Ovis aries: one gene and its partner. The protein of the gene in region 2 purifies or fractionates together with the protein of the main gene of each other region. This does not show direct contact. Links are inferred from orthologs where the notes say so. Each region holds a gene or a part of one and is shown on either strand. Other genes may lie near its edges.

What was found. The genes of interacting proteins can lie anywhere in the genome.
Region 1: the proteins of TJP1 (region 2) and OCLN purify together in Homo sapiens (affinity purification with western blotting; 4 studies listed by BioGRID and IntAct, with this or other methods). This does not show direct contact. The link is inferred for Ovis aries from reciprocal best matches to the Homo sapiens genes TJP1 and OCLN.

Annotation. Positions count from the first base shown.
Region 1 is NC_056069.1:10,386,921-10,394,397, reverse strand, and holds the start of OCLN (occludin), read left to right. Parts: upstream 1-3,558; 5' UTR 3,559-3,713; intron 3,714-3,835; exon of another isoform or gene 3,836-3,944; intron 3,945-4,770; exon of another isoform or gene 4,771-4,997; intron 4,998-7,477. UniProt on the Homo sapiens protein: May play a role in the formation and regulation of the tight junction (TJ) paracellular permeability barrier.
Region 2 is NC_056071.1:26,250,029-26,256,888, reverse strand, and holds part of TJP1 (tight junction protein ZO-1), read left to right. Parts: intron 1-529; coding exon 530-680; intron 681-2,695; coding exon 2,696-2,804; intron 2,805-3,972; coding exon 3,973-4,192; intron 4,193-4,420; coding exon 4,421-4,605; intron 4,606-4,700; coding exon 4,701-4,796; intron 4,797-6,860. UniProt on the Homo sapiens protein: TJP1, TJP2, and TJP3 are closely related scaffolding proteins that link tight junction (TJ) transmembrane proteins such as claudins, junctional adhesion molecules, and occludin to the actin cytoskeleton.

The sequences.
Region 1 (7,477 bases), on a different chromosome or scaffold from region 2:
AATCCACTGAATTGTACATATGCATTAAAATTAAGGGTGAATTTTACAGTATGTAAGATATATTTTAATTTTTTTTAAGTGGGGGAAAAAACTCTTAAGTTGTCTTTAGAACATGTCAAAAGTACACTATAAAATAACAGACATGTGTTTATAAATGTAAGAGTATTAGGAAATGTTCCCTTGTTTAATTATAAACCAAGTGGAATGTTTGGAGATTTCAGTAATCTGACAGGGAACCTTAAGAGGATTAACCTGACTTTCCCAGTGTTAACAATACTAATTTAAACTGCATCATTCAAAAACTACCTTGTCATACAGTAGTAATTGTAACAATGACTTCCACAAAAAACACCAATTAGATTAATTACTCATTAAGGCTGTCATCTTTTAATACCTTATATTTATATAACCCTTTTACTTCCTTAAGTGTTGAACTGTGCCTTAAGATTTAACTTATGGGAGAGTCACAGCTCTAACCATTTAATTAGAGGCAGGGAAGTGGGTGGAACTGGACTGAAATTTATTAGCAATGCTGACATTCCAGGTTGGAACACAAAGTGAAGCAGGACTTAAACCTAAATTCCAGCCTTCTATATGAACTCAAAGGTTTTGGCATAGTCAATAAAGCAGAAATAGATGTTTTTTTTTTGGAACTCTCTTGCTTTTCTGATGATCCAGAGGATGTTGGCAATTTGATCTCTGGTTCCTCTGCATTTTCTAAAACCAGCTTGAACATCTGGAAGTTCACGGTTCATGTATTGCTGAACCCTGGCTTGGAGAATTTTGAGCATTACTTTACTAGTGTGTGAGATGAGTACAATTGTGTGGTAGTTTGAGCATTCTTTGGCATTGCCTTTCTTTGGAATTGGAATGAAAACTGACCTTTTCCAGTCCTGTGACCACTGCTGAGTCTTCCCAATTTGCTGGCATATTGAGTGCAGCACTTTCACAGCATCATCTTTCAGGATTTGAAATAGCTCAACTGGAAATCCATCACCTCCACGAGCTTTGTTCGTAGTGATGGTTCCTAAGGCCCACTTAACTTCACATTCCAGGATGTCTGGCTCTAGGTGAGTGATCACACCATTGTGATTATCTTGGTCATGAAGCTCTTTTTGTACAGTTCTGTGTATTCTCACCACCTCTTCTTAATATCTTCTGCTTCTGTTAGGGCCATACCAGTTCTGTCCTTTATTGAGCCCACCTTTGCATGAAATGTTCCCTTGGTATCTCTAATTTTCTTGAAGAGATCTCTATTCTTTCCCATTCTGTTGTTTTCCTCTATTTCTTTGCATTGATTGCTGAGGAAGGCTTTCTTATCTCTCCTTGCTATTCTTTGGAACCCTGCATTCAGATGCTTATATCTTTCCTTTTCTCCTTTGCTTTTTGCTTCTCTTCTTTTCACAGCTATTTGTAAGGCCTCCCCAGACAGCCATTTTGCTTTTCTGCATTTCTTTTCCATGGGGATGGTCTTGATCCTTATCTCCTGTATAATGTCAGGAACTTCTGTCCATAGTTCATCAGGCACTCTATCTATCAGATCTAGTCCCTTAAATCTATTTCTCACTTCCACTGTATAATAATAAGGGGTTTGATTTAGGTCATACCTGAATGGTCTAGTTCTGCTTTATTGACTATGCCAAAGACTTTGGCTGTGTGGATCACAATAAATTGTGGAAAATTCTTCAAGAGATGGGAATACCAGACCACCTGACCTGCCTCCTGAGAAACCTATATGCAGGTCAGAAAGCAACAGTTAGAACTGGACGTGGAACAACAGACTGGTTCCAAATAGGGAAAGGAGTACATCAAGGCTGTATATTGTCACCCTGCTTATTTAACTTATATGCAGAGGACATCATGAGAAACGCTGGGCTGGAAGAAGCACAAGCTGGAATCAAGATTGCCGGGAGAAATATCAACAACCTCAGATATGCAGATGACACCAGCCTTATGGCAGAAAGTGAAGAGGAACTAAAAGGCCTCTTAATGAAAGTGAAAGAGGAGAGTGGAAAAGTTGGCTTAGAGCTCAACATTCAGAAAATGAAGATCATGGCATCTGGTCCCATCACTTCATGGGAAACAGATGGGGAAACAGTGGAAACAGTGTCAGACTTTATTTTGGGGGGCTCCAAAATCACTGCAGATGGTGACTGCATCCGTGAAATTAAAAGACGCTTACTCCTTGGAAGGAAAGTTATGACCAGCCTAGATAGTATATTGAAAAGCAGAGATATTTGCCAACCTTTGCCAACAAAGGTCGGTCTAGTCAAGGCTATAGTTTTTCCAGTAGTCACGTATGGATGTGAGAGTTGGACTGTGAAGAAGCTGAGCGCCGAAGAGTTGATGCTTTTGAACTGTGGTGTTGGAGAAGACTCTTGAGAGTCCCTTGGACTGCAAGGAGATCCAACCAGTCCGTCCTAAAGGAGATCAGTCCTGGGTGTTCATTGGAAGGATTGATGCTGAAGTTGAAACTCCAATACTTTGGCCCACCTCCTGCGAAGCGTTGACTCATTTGAAAAGACTCTGATGCTGGGAGGGATTGGGGGCAGGAGGAGAAGGGGACGACATAGGATAAGATGGCTGGATGGCATCACCGACTCGATGGACATGAGTATGAGTGAACTCCGGGAGTTGGTGATGGACAGGGAGGCCTGGAGTGCTGTGATTCTTGGGGTCGCAAAGAGTCAGACAGGACTGAGCGATTCAACTGAACTGAACAGATACGAACTCAAATAGCAAGAACTGAAACTGCCCTATTCAGCAGCACATTAATGCAACGTATAGATAAGTGAACACATCGTTAAGTGCAGACTCTGAATTTTCCTAAACTTAACACTCCTTTGGGAACAGCCCCCAGAAGAAATGGAACAGAGACACAGAACTAGAGCTTTTTTTTTTTTTTTTAACCCTTAAACCAAAGAAAATATTCAAATCGTTTAAAACCCCTGAATAGCAGACTCTCGGTCCTGTCATAGTTAAACGTGGGGAGGAGGAGTAGAGGGCCCTGAAATGGTAATAATGTAAATCGTAGTATACCCTTAATTTTGATGGCAAACTTACCATCACCAGTATCTACAATACTTCCAACCTCACTGAACCACTCTTGAGTGACAGTCTTTTTAGCGATCCAGAGATTTAGAAGCAGTTCCTAAATTTACGCATGACATGTGAAAATCTCCCACGTCTAGCTGCTTCTTTCCAACAAAAGTTTAATAAAATTTTCGAAGCAGGAAACTTTTGTGTCCGATCGTGTCTTTCTTGCCGAAGTGCTGAGCACCCTAGAACACTTCAGGAGGCACAGTCTCTCCAGATTTCACTCGCCAAACATTCCGCAGTTGTGCCCGAAGAGCTCCGAGAGCTTTCTAGGGTGGTCCGGGACCACTCTCCCCCAGCCGGGAGCCCGAGCCCCTAGCCCCCGCCACCCCTCTGCTCTCCTTCCCCGCCCACTCGGACCGAAACGCCGCGCTGTTCCTTTAAGGCCGGACGCCGCAGGGTGTGCGGAGAAGGGCCGGTTCTTCCCGCCTCCTTTTGCACCGCTCCCTTCCCCCTCCCATCGGAGTTTCAGGTGAATGGGTCACGGAGGGTGGAGGCCGCCATACCACTCCTCCTCCGTAGCGTCCACCTCCCCCTTTCTGCTTCTTCAGACGGAGGCGGCGGGACTCCGGGGAGAGGTGGCCGGGACGCCGAGGAGCCCGCGCGGGGAGCCGCAGGTGGGGCTGGCGGGCGCCGGGCCGCGGACTTTCCGCCCCCGGGCCGGGGTTGGTGCGCATGCCCGGGGGGCAGGCGGGCCGGGTGGGCGGGGGGAGGAGGGGAGAGAGGAGGCGGAGGGCTCAGTGTCCGGCGGAGTCCCGGCTGCGCGCAGCCTCTCTGCCAGGCGGCAGGTGCGCCCTCCAGGTGAGCGCACGCCCGGGCTGCCGCCGTGTTTGGTTCGCTGAGAGAAGGTGAGAGCTGGGCGCGGCGCCGGGGGCCCCAAGGCCCCTCCGTGCCCCGTCTAGAAGGGGAGGCGCGGGGAGAGGACGCCCCGCGGTGGTTTCGGTGGCGGTTTCGCTCCAGGCTTTGGACTCGCGGCAGCCGGAGAGGCGCGGGGCGGCGAAGAGAGCCGCGCCCGGCCAGCTCGGAGCCTGCCTCCTGGGTCGAGGGGCTGCTTGGAGCCGCCCATCTGTTCCTTCCGCTGGAACTATTCAAGCCACCACCAGTGTCTAGGCGGCGTGGGCAACTTTTCGCTTTCTTGGGGGCCGGCGGGAGATTGGTGACCAGCCAGAATCCTGCGACCGGCTCTCCAGGCTGCAGCTTTTCTTTTCTTTCTTTTTTTCTGGGGACGGGGGCGGTGTCCCTGAGGAGAGAGCCTGAGCTTGAGGGCTGAAACTAGGGGGGCCGCTTGCTGGCCCGGGCGAGGCGGCTCGGACTCTGGGAGGAATCCGTTGTTATCTGCCCTCCTCTCACCCCTCTGGGTATTCCAGGCGGAGAAGGGGTGGCCGGGTTTAATCCGTGCAGTATTCCTGGAGCCCTGGGGTGGGCCGGACGGCTTTCAACCCCCTTGGTGGGAGTTGTTATGAGCCCGCGTCGATTTAAGCTGCCGGGGCGGGGATTTAATTTCTAATGAAGCTGTATTTCCAGGGAAGCCACTCATGCTTGGGATTCTCACCCTTGACCTAAAAGGCCGCCGCCAGGTGGGCGGACCTGCCTCGGGCCGTCCCTGCTCACCCAGCTGGGACTCGTACTGCCCGGTGTGCTCCTGGACACCGGCACGTGCTCCTAGCCAGATCGCCGGCCCCGCGCGCCGCCGACACGTTGCCTATGTTGGAGGAATTGTGCAGGGCAGGTGGGAGGAGGGGTCAAGATGCCCCTTGCAGTTGGGAGAGCAGCCCCGAGCCCCTCGTCTCGTATCCCAAGTGAAGCGACAGAGTCGGGGGAGAGGAGCGGCATCCTGGAGCTGGCCGGGCGACGTGCCCGCCTGGCAAATGACCCGGGACGGGGAGGAGGCAGCCTTTCAGGTTAGTGTGTGGCCCTCACGCACAACAGGTGTATTATTGAGGTCCCGGGAAAAGAGAAACCCTTCCCCATTAAGGGACTGGTCCCTTTTTTGTGATTGAAAACTACTTCTTCCCAGATGGAGGTAGATTTCTCAAACTTTTTATGTATTCCCTAGTGTAGCCCTGTTTCTTTTGCACTATACACATTTAATATTTTCTCTTCCTGGTATTTTAAAATAGGCATTTTTAAAGGTGGCGCCACAGTAATTGGTATCTCTGCAGACAAAGGAGCAGCACTGTTCTTTTTTGTCGTTTTGCATTTATTTGGTTACTGGGCACCTCTTTTGTTAGAGTGTGGAGGCGAGGAGAGGGAGATTTCCACAACTTCTAGGAAATTTAGGAAAGTGATGAGCATTGCCTCCTGTATGTAAGGTACTGTAATAAAAGCCTTTGTACTTTATGTCGTTTAATCATCCCAGCATCTCTAAAAGCTAGGTCTTATTAGAACTCCGTTTTAAAAGTGAGTAAACACCAGGGAAAGTAAATATATATATATTTAAATATTTATTTATTTGGCTGCACTGGCTCTTAGTTGTGGCAGGCATCTAGTTCCCTGCCCAGTGATGGAGCCCAGGGAGGGTTAGCCCCTGGACCACCAGGGAGCTTCTGGGACGGTGTGTTATTAAAGGGACAGTTCTTGATATTCCGGTGGAGAACCAGATTTGGGGAGTTTTTCTGGAATTCTCTACTTTTGACTAGACCCTATGGCCTCACGTAAGTGTTCCCCATCTTGCTTGATGTAAAAGTAAAACATTCTTTTCTTTTAAAGATAATGCTGTAATTTCTTATGTTTCAAAATGATGGAAGATTGCTTTCAGCCATATGAGGTAACTGATCCTATGTCCTTCACCTTCCCAAGGAGAGACCTCCCAGATGAAAGTTTTCTTTAGCTGCATTTCAAGGCTTACGTGATTAGAATATTTATTGGACTTTTTCATCCACATTACTATTTATAGAACTAGTGGTAAAAATACCTTGGTCACACCTTTTTAAAAAATTTGCCCCCAGGGTTGCAGCTGTTCTGTAATTTAGTGCTTTCCAATCTTGAATGTGGTGTGAATCACATTGAGGATCTTATGAAAATACAGATTCTGATTCATAGGTCAAAAGTGATGCCTGGAATTCTGCTTTTCTAGCACGTCGCTGGGTGATGCCTGTACAGTTTTCTCTCCCTTTCTCTCACACTGTAAGCACTTAACTACTTTTGTGGAACTTAACTTGAAGGATTATATTTCCTGGGTGTTAGTTATGTGAAGAACTTAAAGGCATTCACTGGTGGATTGAAATCCCTACTCTAATATGGGATATTGTTTTCTAAATCAAATATTGATTGCACATCTCTGTACCAGGGACTGGATCCATGGATCAGGAATAAGAGTGAAGATCAAGACAGACATTTAAGTGCTTGGGATGGTGGTATTCCTTTTGGACTGGAGAAGATTGTAGTTTTAAAAAAAGAAAAAAAAATAATTAAAGGGGAAATTTGCTCTGAAAATAAATTGGTGGTTGGGGTGAGATACTGGGAGGACATCTCTGAGGAGGTGAAATTTGAGCTAAGAACTGATCGGGAAATGCCTGCTATGTAGAAATCTGGGTGTTCTAAACAAGAAACCCTCAAGATCAAGGCCCTCCTTGAGTTGACACTTTTATTCTAGGCAGTGATTTTCAAAATGTGTGGTGTGGTTAAAAAATCATCTAGAGAACTTATTTAAAATGTAGTTTCTGACACAGAGCTAATCGATTTCAAAATCTAATTTCAAAATTTTAGGTCCTTTACTAATGATATGCCTATAACCTAAATAGAATCATTTAATATCAACTTTAAAAACACCTTAAAGGCAAATTCATGAAAGGAATGTGATCAAAAAGGAACAGACTGCCCTTAAATACAGCGTTTATTTATTTTTACTTATTGACAGTTTGCTTTAAATAATAATTTTGAAGCACAGCATTTTCAGATCTTTTTATCTTAGCTCAGTAATCTACTGAGATTATTTTGGCCAGTAAACATTTTAAAAGAGAGAACTTTTAATTTTTTTACCATCAGCTGGCTTTAAGTTTAACATACTCAGTAAGGGTCAGCTCCAAATTGGCCCTGACTCCATCCAGTGCAGCTGTTTGCCAGAGCCTGTGGCTTTTCACTTCTCGTTTTACTTGTTCCTTCGCTCAGCATACACGTACTGTCCAGATACTGTTAGTGTTGCTGTGCTGGGCATTGGGCAGCATTCTTGGACCTCTTTTGCCTATTGTCATGGCCTTAGAACTTGGTCATAGGCTGCCTTGCAAGAGCCCTTAGAAGTCAGTCCTGCGGCCCAGTGTCTTGCCGCTCCACCTCGCCAAATACCAAACAAGCTTTGCAGACACAGCATGAGGTCAAATTGTTATTTGTTGTTTTGGGAGGGTGTGTGGAGAAACTTCCTAACATTGAAATGAAATCTGAC
Region 2 (6,860 bases):
TCTGTGTGAGCTACTGCAAGAGCCCCTGGCTGTGGAGCTTGAAAAGCACTGTCTGTCAGGCGCAGTGCCTAGAGCTTGATTTTGACTCCTGGTATTAGGGAAATTTGTCAGTATACACTTCAGTTTCTACCTTTGTACAGTAGGACTTCTCAGTTATTCGGTAGAGATGATATGATATGAACTGGGATGGGAAAAATGGAACAGTTTTTAGCCATTGTTAATATATATGTATCAAAGAGTCAAGAGTTGGGAAAACATGTTTTCATGGAGTAATTTTACAGTTATTATGTAAAACAGTACTAACATATTACATTTGGATATTTCAGAACTTATTTTTGTTAATTAGAATTAAAGTGCTATTAAATCTGATTTTGAGTTCTAATGCTAAATTTTATTAAGTAAATTAGTGGTGTGGGGGAAATTTCAGATATGATGGTCCTTTGTTTTATTCTAAATATGGTTTTCATTATAGCAGTTTGCTGTAACTGTTTAAGCTTAACTCATTCAAATGAAATACTTGTTTTAACAGGCCCAGCATGAAGTTAGTAAAATTCAGGAAAGGAGATAGTGTGGGTCTTCGGCTAGCTGGTGGAAACGATGTTGGCATATTTGTAGCTGGTGTTCTCGAAGACAGCCCTGCTGCCAAAGAAGGCTTGGAGGAGGGCGACCAGATCCTCAGGGTATGTCCATGATCAACTCACATGGCTTCAGATACTTAGGTCTCCAGAGCAAGGCCTCAGACATAGCAGATCTGTTATGATGAGCTTGTAATCTGTGTGAAAGAACGTGGGGCTCCATCAGGTCTCCCCTTCCTGCCTCTGCTCACGTCTATGTTAGGTGTGTCTGCACAGTATGTGGCTTTGGTTTCATTTTAATCACTCATATCTGTAGAATGTGGAAAAACCAAGTCTTGGAGCTCACAGTGTCTCCCAGTTATCTGCAGTTCAGCTGAGCATTCCTGCTGGCTGGACTCTGCTGTGGGCCCCAGCCTGCCAGCAGGGCAGCACAGGTATGCAGCCTGTGGCCCCCCTTTACCCAGTGATGGCTCAGGTGTGCCAAGACAGGTGTCCACTGGGTACATGTGTAAGCCGCTCTTGTTCTGAAGTTTCACATCCACAAGGATGAGAGTCTAGGAAAGCCCAGCTTAGATGCAGTGTGCCAGTGGGCTCTTTGTGTTTTTGTTTCTTTTCCATAAGCAATGTTACCTAGTAACATAGTACCATCTTTATTCATCTCCTCTCTTTTTAAAATATCCAAACCTCCTGCTGGATGTACTGCATCCCATTCTAGTCGGAGGACCAGCTCTTAAGTGGGAGTTCCCGCCTCACCTCTGCTCTGCTCTCTTTTTCCTTCCTCCTGCCCCAGAGTCTGACTGCTCTGTTCTGAACTCTCTTTCCCTGCCTGTTGGTTCCTCTTCTGCCTTCTGTTGTCTTTCTCCTCCGGCTGTTGCACTTGCAGATAAGGTGGCGCCCTTCCCTGCCTGCTTGTGTCATGAGGCCGTGCGGCCTGCCTGCCACCTTCGCCACGGCTCAGGGTGGGTTTCCATGAGGCACCACCAACCCGATGGCATCTTCAGCCCTCGTTTTTCTGTATTTCTTACTCCTGTTTTAACCTTAAGTAATTACTTTCTTCTTTGGAGTCCATAATGCTGTCATTCTGGCCCTCCTACTGGATAAATGTTTGAGTTCTTTTCCCACCACCTTCTTATAATCATTCATCTGAAAACCTGGCGCATGTTCAGCAACCCCTTCTTTACTGTTGCTTCCCTGTCTCCATGCTGGGTTTGGTCACTTGAGGCAGCAGCTCGCAGTCAGAAACCGTCCTCCGAGCGTGGGGTGAGCTCCCTCAGGCTGTGGCGGCCCCCCGGTCCCCCTTCCCCTTCATACTCGCATGGAAGGAGGTCAGGGCATTCATTGGCTCAGCCTGGCTGATTTCCACTTGATGTTGTATTGACAATGTTTCTATTTTCTCAGATACAACATTGATAATTAAGTAGACCTATTCTCTTACCCTCTCCATATGCTGTTTGAAGTAATCATGTGTCATTTAAAAATATTTTCTCATTATTTATTTTTGTTTTGTATCATTAAGGTACTGCCTATTGAAACATTTTCTCTTAACGTGGAAAATTTCCAGAAGATGAATAGAAGGAAGTCTCCCTGTTACCCTGCACACAGTCACATGACATTTACGTTAGGTCCTCAGGGGTGTCTGATACGAGTGAGCCCTGGCCTGGCAGACTCTGAGCCCGTGGTGTACACATGCTCTCACTGAGGTAGCATAGCGCACACGCGTTTCCTTCTGATTGCTTCTCAGAGTCCTAAGAAGTCGGGCTCTGTTACACAGTCTGGACTTTAATTTCAAAGTTTAAATCATGAGATTTTATAATAATGAGTCATTGGAAGTAGATGTTGGCTTTCTTGGTCGGAACTGGTTGGAATTTGCAGTGTATAATCTCTAACATTGTGTGGCATTGTCACTGTTTAAATGAGTTTATACTTTAACTCACTTTATTTACTTGGTTTCTGCTTGTTACAAACTAGGGTCTTTTCTCCAAAAATAAATATTTTCACTTTTGGAGATGTGATATTTCTAGAGTAGATAAACTCTAGAAATACTTGTTTCCTGTGCAGTTAAATGTTTTTATCGTCTTAAAATATGGCCAATAGTAATTTGTGAAACGTTGTTTTAACAGGTAAACAATGTAGACTTCACAAATATCATAAGAGAAGAAGCTGTCCTCTTCCTGCTTGACCTCCCGAAAGGAGAAGAAGTGACCATATTGGCTCAGAAGAAGAAGGATGGTAAGTTACTCTCAGGAAGGTGAGAAAATAAACCTGGAGGTGCTGGACTACTTAAAAAGGAATTTTAATGTTAATGTTTTTAATAAATCACTCAAAGCTGAGTGATAAATGACTTTGTTAATGCCACGGATTTTGTCATTTAGGGGCACACAGCCTTTACACTGTGGGGCCTCCATGGTGGGTCAGTAGTAAAGAATTCTGGCAGTTTGGGAGATGCAGCTTCGATCACTGGGTCGGGAAGATCACTGGGCCTGGAGGAGGAAATGGCCACCCCCTCCAGTATTGTCGCCTGGAGAATCCCATGGACGGAGGAGCCTGGTGGTCTACAGTCCATGTGGTCGCAGAGAGTCAGACACGATTGAGTGACTAAACAGCATCACAGTCTCAACGCTGTGCTTGTGAGCACAGCACAGTAATGGGCCAGCCAGAGTCCCTGGGCTTCAGCTTAAGCTAGAGTGCCATCTGTGGGAAAATTGTATACTCTTCCACAAAGAACTGTACATGGGCAGCTTCTCAGTTTTGTATTGATGTTTTCTAAGCATTATGCTCTGATGTTTGTTGGCATTAGTTTCAAGAGAATGACTAATTTTCTGTGATTAAGAAGATGCACTTTTCATTTAGAATAGACAAGGTCTCTCATGCTTGGCACTGTTGATGTTTTGAACCAAGTAATGTGGTGAAGGCCGTCCCGTGTATCAACACTTGAGGCTGTTTGAGGTGTCCTCCCTCTGCTCACTAGGTGTCTGTACACACACCTTCTTCCAGCACATGGTTGCTGCTATCAGAAATGTCTCCATGCGTGCCAGCCCTCTCACCTGACGGGGACCGGGTTGCCCTCATTTGAGAGCCATAGTTAGCAGGAGCGTCTGTGCAGGGCTGAGGCGGGACTGTTAGGTGACTGAAGCAGGAAGCACGTGTGGCTCTGGACAAGTTGCCTGCTGGGTGTCTGCAGCAGTTTCCTCATCCAGGAGGGGGTTGCCGAGAGTCACCCGTGCCATGAGCTCACGGTGATGCCCAAGAGACAGAATATTTAGGAAGGAGCTGCTGTTAGTTGGATACAGTTGTTTTTGTCATTGCTAACGTTATCAATAGAATCTTCACCTAATGTATTCTATTCATATTAATTTCTTTCTCCACTCATTATTGATTATATTTCATTTCCATTTAGTTTATCGTCGCATTGTAGAATCCGATGTGGGTGATTCTTTCTATATTAGAACCCATTTTGAATATGAGAAGGAATCTCCCTATGGACTCAGTTTTAACAAAGGAGAGGTGTTCCGTGTTGTGGACACTCTGTACAATGGGAAGCTGGGCTCCTGGCTCGCCATTCGGATTGGCAAAAACCATAAGGAAGTGGAACGTGGCATCATTCCAAACAAGAACAGGTATGAGCGCTCCGCTGTGTCTCACAGAGCAGGTTAGGGAATGAGGAAAAGGTTTCAGCCCCACGGGGAGTCTTCACTGTACTCACCATGTCTAAGACTGACCTAGCTTTATAAACTCCTTTAATGTAAGCATTAAGGTTTACAGTCCATGTGAAGTTCTGTCCAGGGTTTTGACATTGTGTTCTACCACAAGTCTTGGTGCATTTTGTTCTGTATTCTCCTGTGTAGAGCTGAGCAGTTAGCCAGTGTGCAGTATACACTTCCTAAGACAGCAGGGGGAGACCGCGCCGACTTCTGGAGGTTCCGTGGCCTGCGCAGCTCCAAGAGAAACCTGCGCAAGAGCCGAGAAGACCTTTCGGCCCAGCCAGTCCAGACCAAGTTCCCGGCGTATGAGAGGGTGGTTCTTCGAGAAGGTAGTCTGTTTCCTGCCAACCAGCCTATATTAATGTCGGTTTGCCTAAGACAGATAAAGCATAAACTGTGCTTCTTTTTATCTGAATCTTCTCAGCTGGATTCCTGAGGCCTGTAACCATCTTTGGACCAATAGCTGATGTTGCCAGGGAGAAGCTGGCAAGAGAGGAGCCAGATATTTACCAGATCGCAAGTAAGTGATCTCGATGCAGACTTTCAGTGGGGTTGAGGGTGCTTCTTTACTAGTTACTCCTCTAAAGGTAGATCTGACCCATTCACCTAATAGAAGTAACACTTTTGTAAGTGAAAATTTGCCGCTGACCCCACGTGTTTAATTGGAGGGAAACCTGAGGGATGGTGTCCTTACTCTGCCAGGTCCCTGTCCCCCAGCCCACAGTCACATTTAATCCTGACAGTATCCCAGGGCAGTTGTTGAATGTTCACCCTGAGCGAGGCAAGCTGGGTGCACCGCCCACCTCCCCAGTTGGGGCGTCACAAGGACTACCGGTTAAGTCACTCACTCGGCTCTGAACCCAGCTCTTTCTGGCTCCAGCCCAGCTTTTTCAGCCATTAAGCAAATAGAGAACTCAGATATCAGTGTCAGAAGGTAACAGCAGCATGGTTATGCTGTTGGTCACTGCAGACATTTACAGTGTTCTGGGGTTACGTGTAGATGCCACGTTCAGATGCTGAGGAAGCAGTGCTCTAAATGCCTTACAGGGTTTGCTTGCAGATTCTTCCAGTTTCCTTATTTTAACCACCATGGTAGTTTAAATCCACAGACTTAGATACGACCCCTTAGGCCTGCTTTAATTTACATGTAAAAACTTTAAAAACATTTTTTTCTAATTAGAAATACACCATTTTGTATTTGGAAAAAATTAGAAAATTAGTTTTGACATATTCGTCATCACCCTCAATTTTTACCTTGTTGTATTTTCCTCCACCCTCCCCACCCTTCATACTTTTATGAGGTTTCATACTGTTTAGAAAAGTGTATATTCCATTTTCCTTCTTAGTGGGTAACTCATGTTTTCATTTTATTATCTATTCTATAAAAGTCTGTGGTTTGATTAGCCTTTGTTTTTATAGTTTGTTTCAAACTTATATTTTACTAATACAGAGGGTGCATAAATCTGTGCAGTTTGTTTGCTGGGTGTAAACACTCCAGTACATAGCTCTGTGTGTGTGTGTGTGTGTGTGTGTGTGTGTGCTGGGTTCATTAGAATTCCTGGAGACGGGTGGGCTCCCTGCTGCTGCTGTAGTGCTCTGACTGCCCCTGTGGTGCCATGAGCTCCAGGGGCTGGTTTACATAAGCAGGGTGTTGCCTTTGTATTTGTGTTGTATACATTACTTTTCATTTGCTTGCTGGTGAAGCTGAATGAAGACGTGTGTCCTGAAACTCAGAAGATGCAGACAAATGATAGTAAAATTTGAGCAATTTAGAAAATATTCACTTCTGATTCTCCACTCAGTTTGTTAAGTCTTTTCAGAAGAGATCTTTTTTTGGTTGTGCTTATAGATAGCACTTTGCCTAAAGAAGTTGGTGGTTATAGATACCACCCATAACCAAGCTTAAGTCTTTTTAAATTTGGGAAGAACAAGTGTGAAGACCTACAAAGTTCTGTCTTAAGGACTAATTAATGGTTACTTTAATTGGGTTTATTCTACAACCAGGAACTTAACAAAAGGGGTTCAGATCACTTAGTTATTATATACCCTCTTTGAATCAAATGAGAGTCTTTGAATTTAGAAACTGGTAGCATTTTCTCCAGCCAGAATTCCCAGGTGGTCTCCCCATCATTGCCTGTGTCCAGTGGACCGGAAGCTAGTCCTCTGTCTTGTGAGAGCCTTGTCCCCCTTATTACTCAGCCTGACCTCCGCACTTCTACGTCTCTGCCTTAAAATAGCTGGAACATTTTTGAAAACATGCATCTTAAAAAACTCACATCACTTTAAACTTAAATATTTGGACCAAACATATAATTTTACTTTGTTGACTTAAACGGAAGCAAGTTCATCGATACTAGTTTTTTAAAGCTGATTTTCAATTGAGAGAATTGCCGTTTTGGCAATTTCTCTTGACCAGTAGACAATTTATGCTGAAGTTCTGCTTCCTATTAAAATGTTGTTCATTGGGAAGTATTACTTTGGTGTTGTGAGCACACTGCATGCAGTGTTGCTCAGCTGCTGGGTGGCGGCACCCCTGGGATCACCCCTGGTGGGTGAGTGCCCACCCACCTTCTGATGGTGTGAA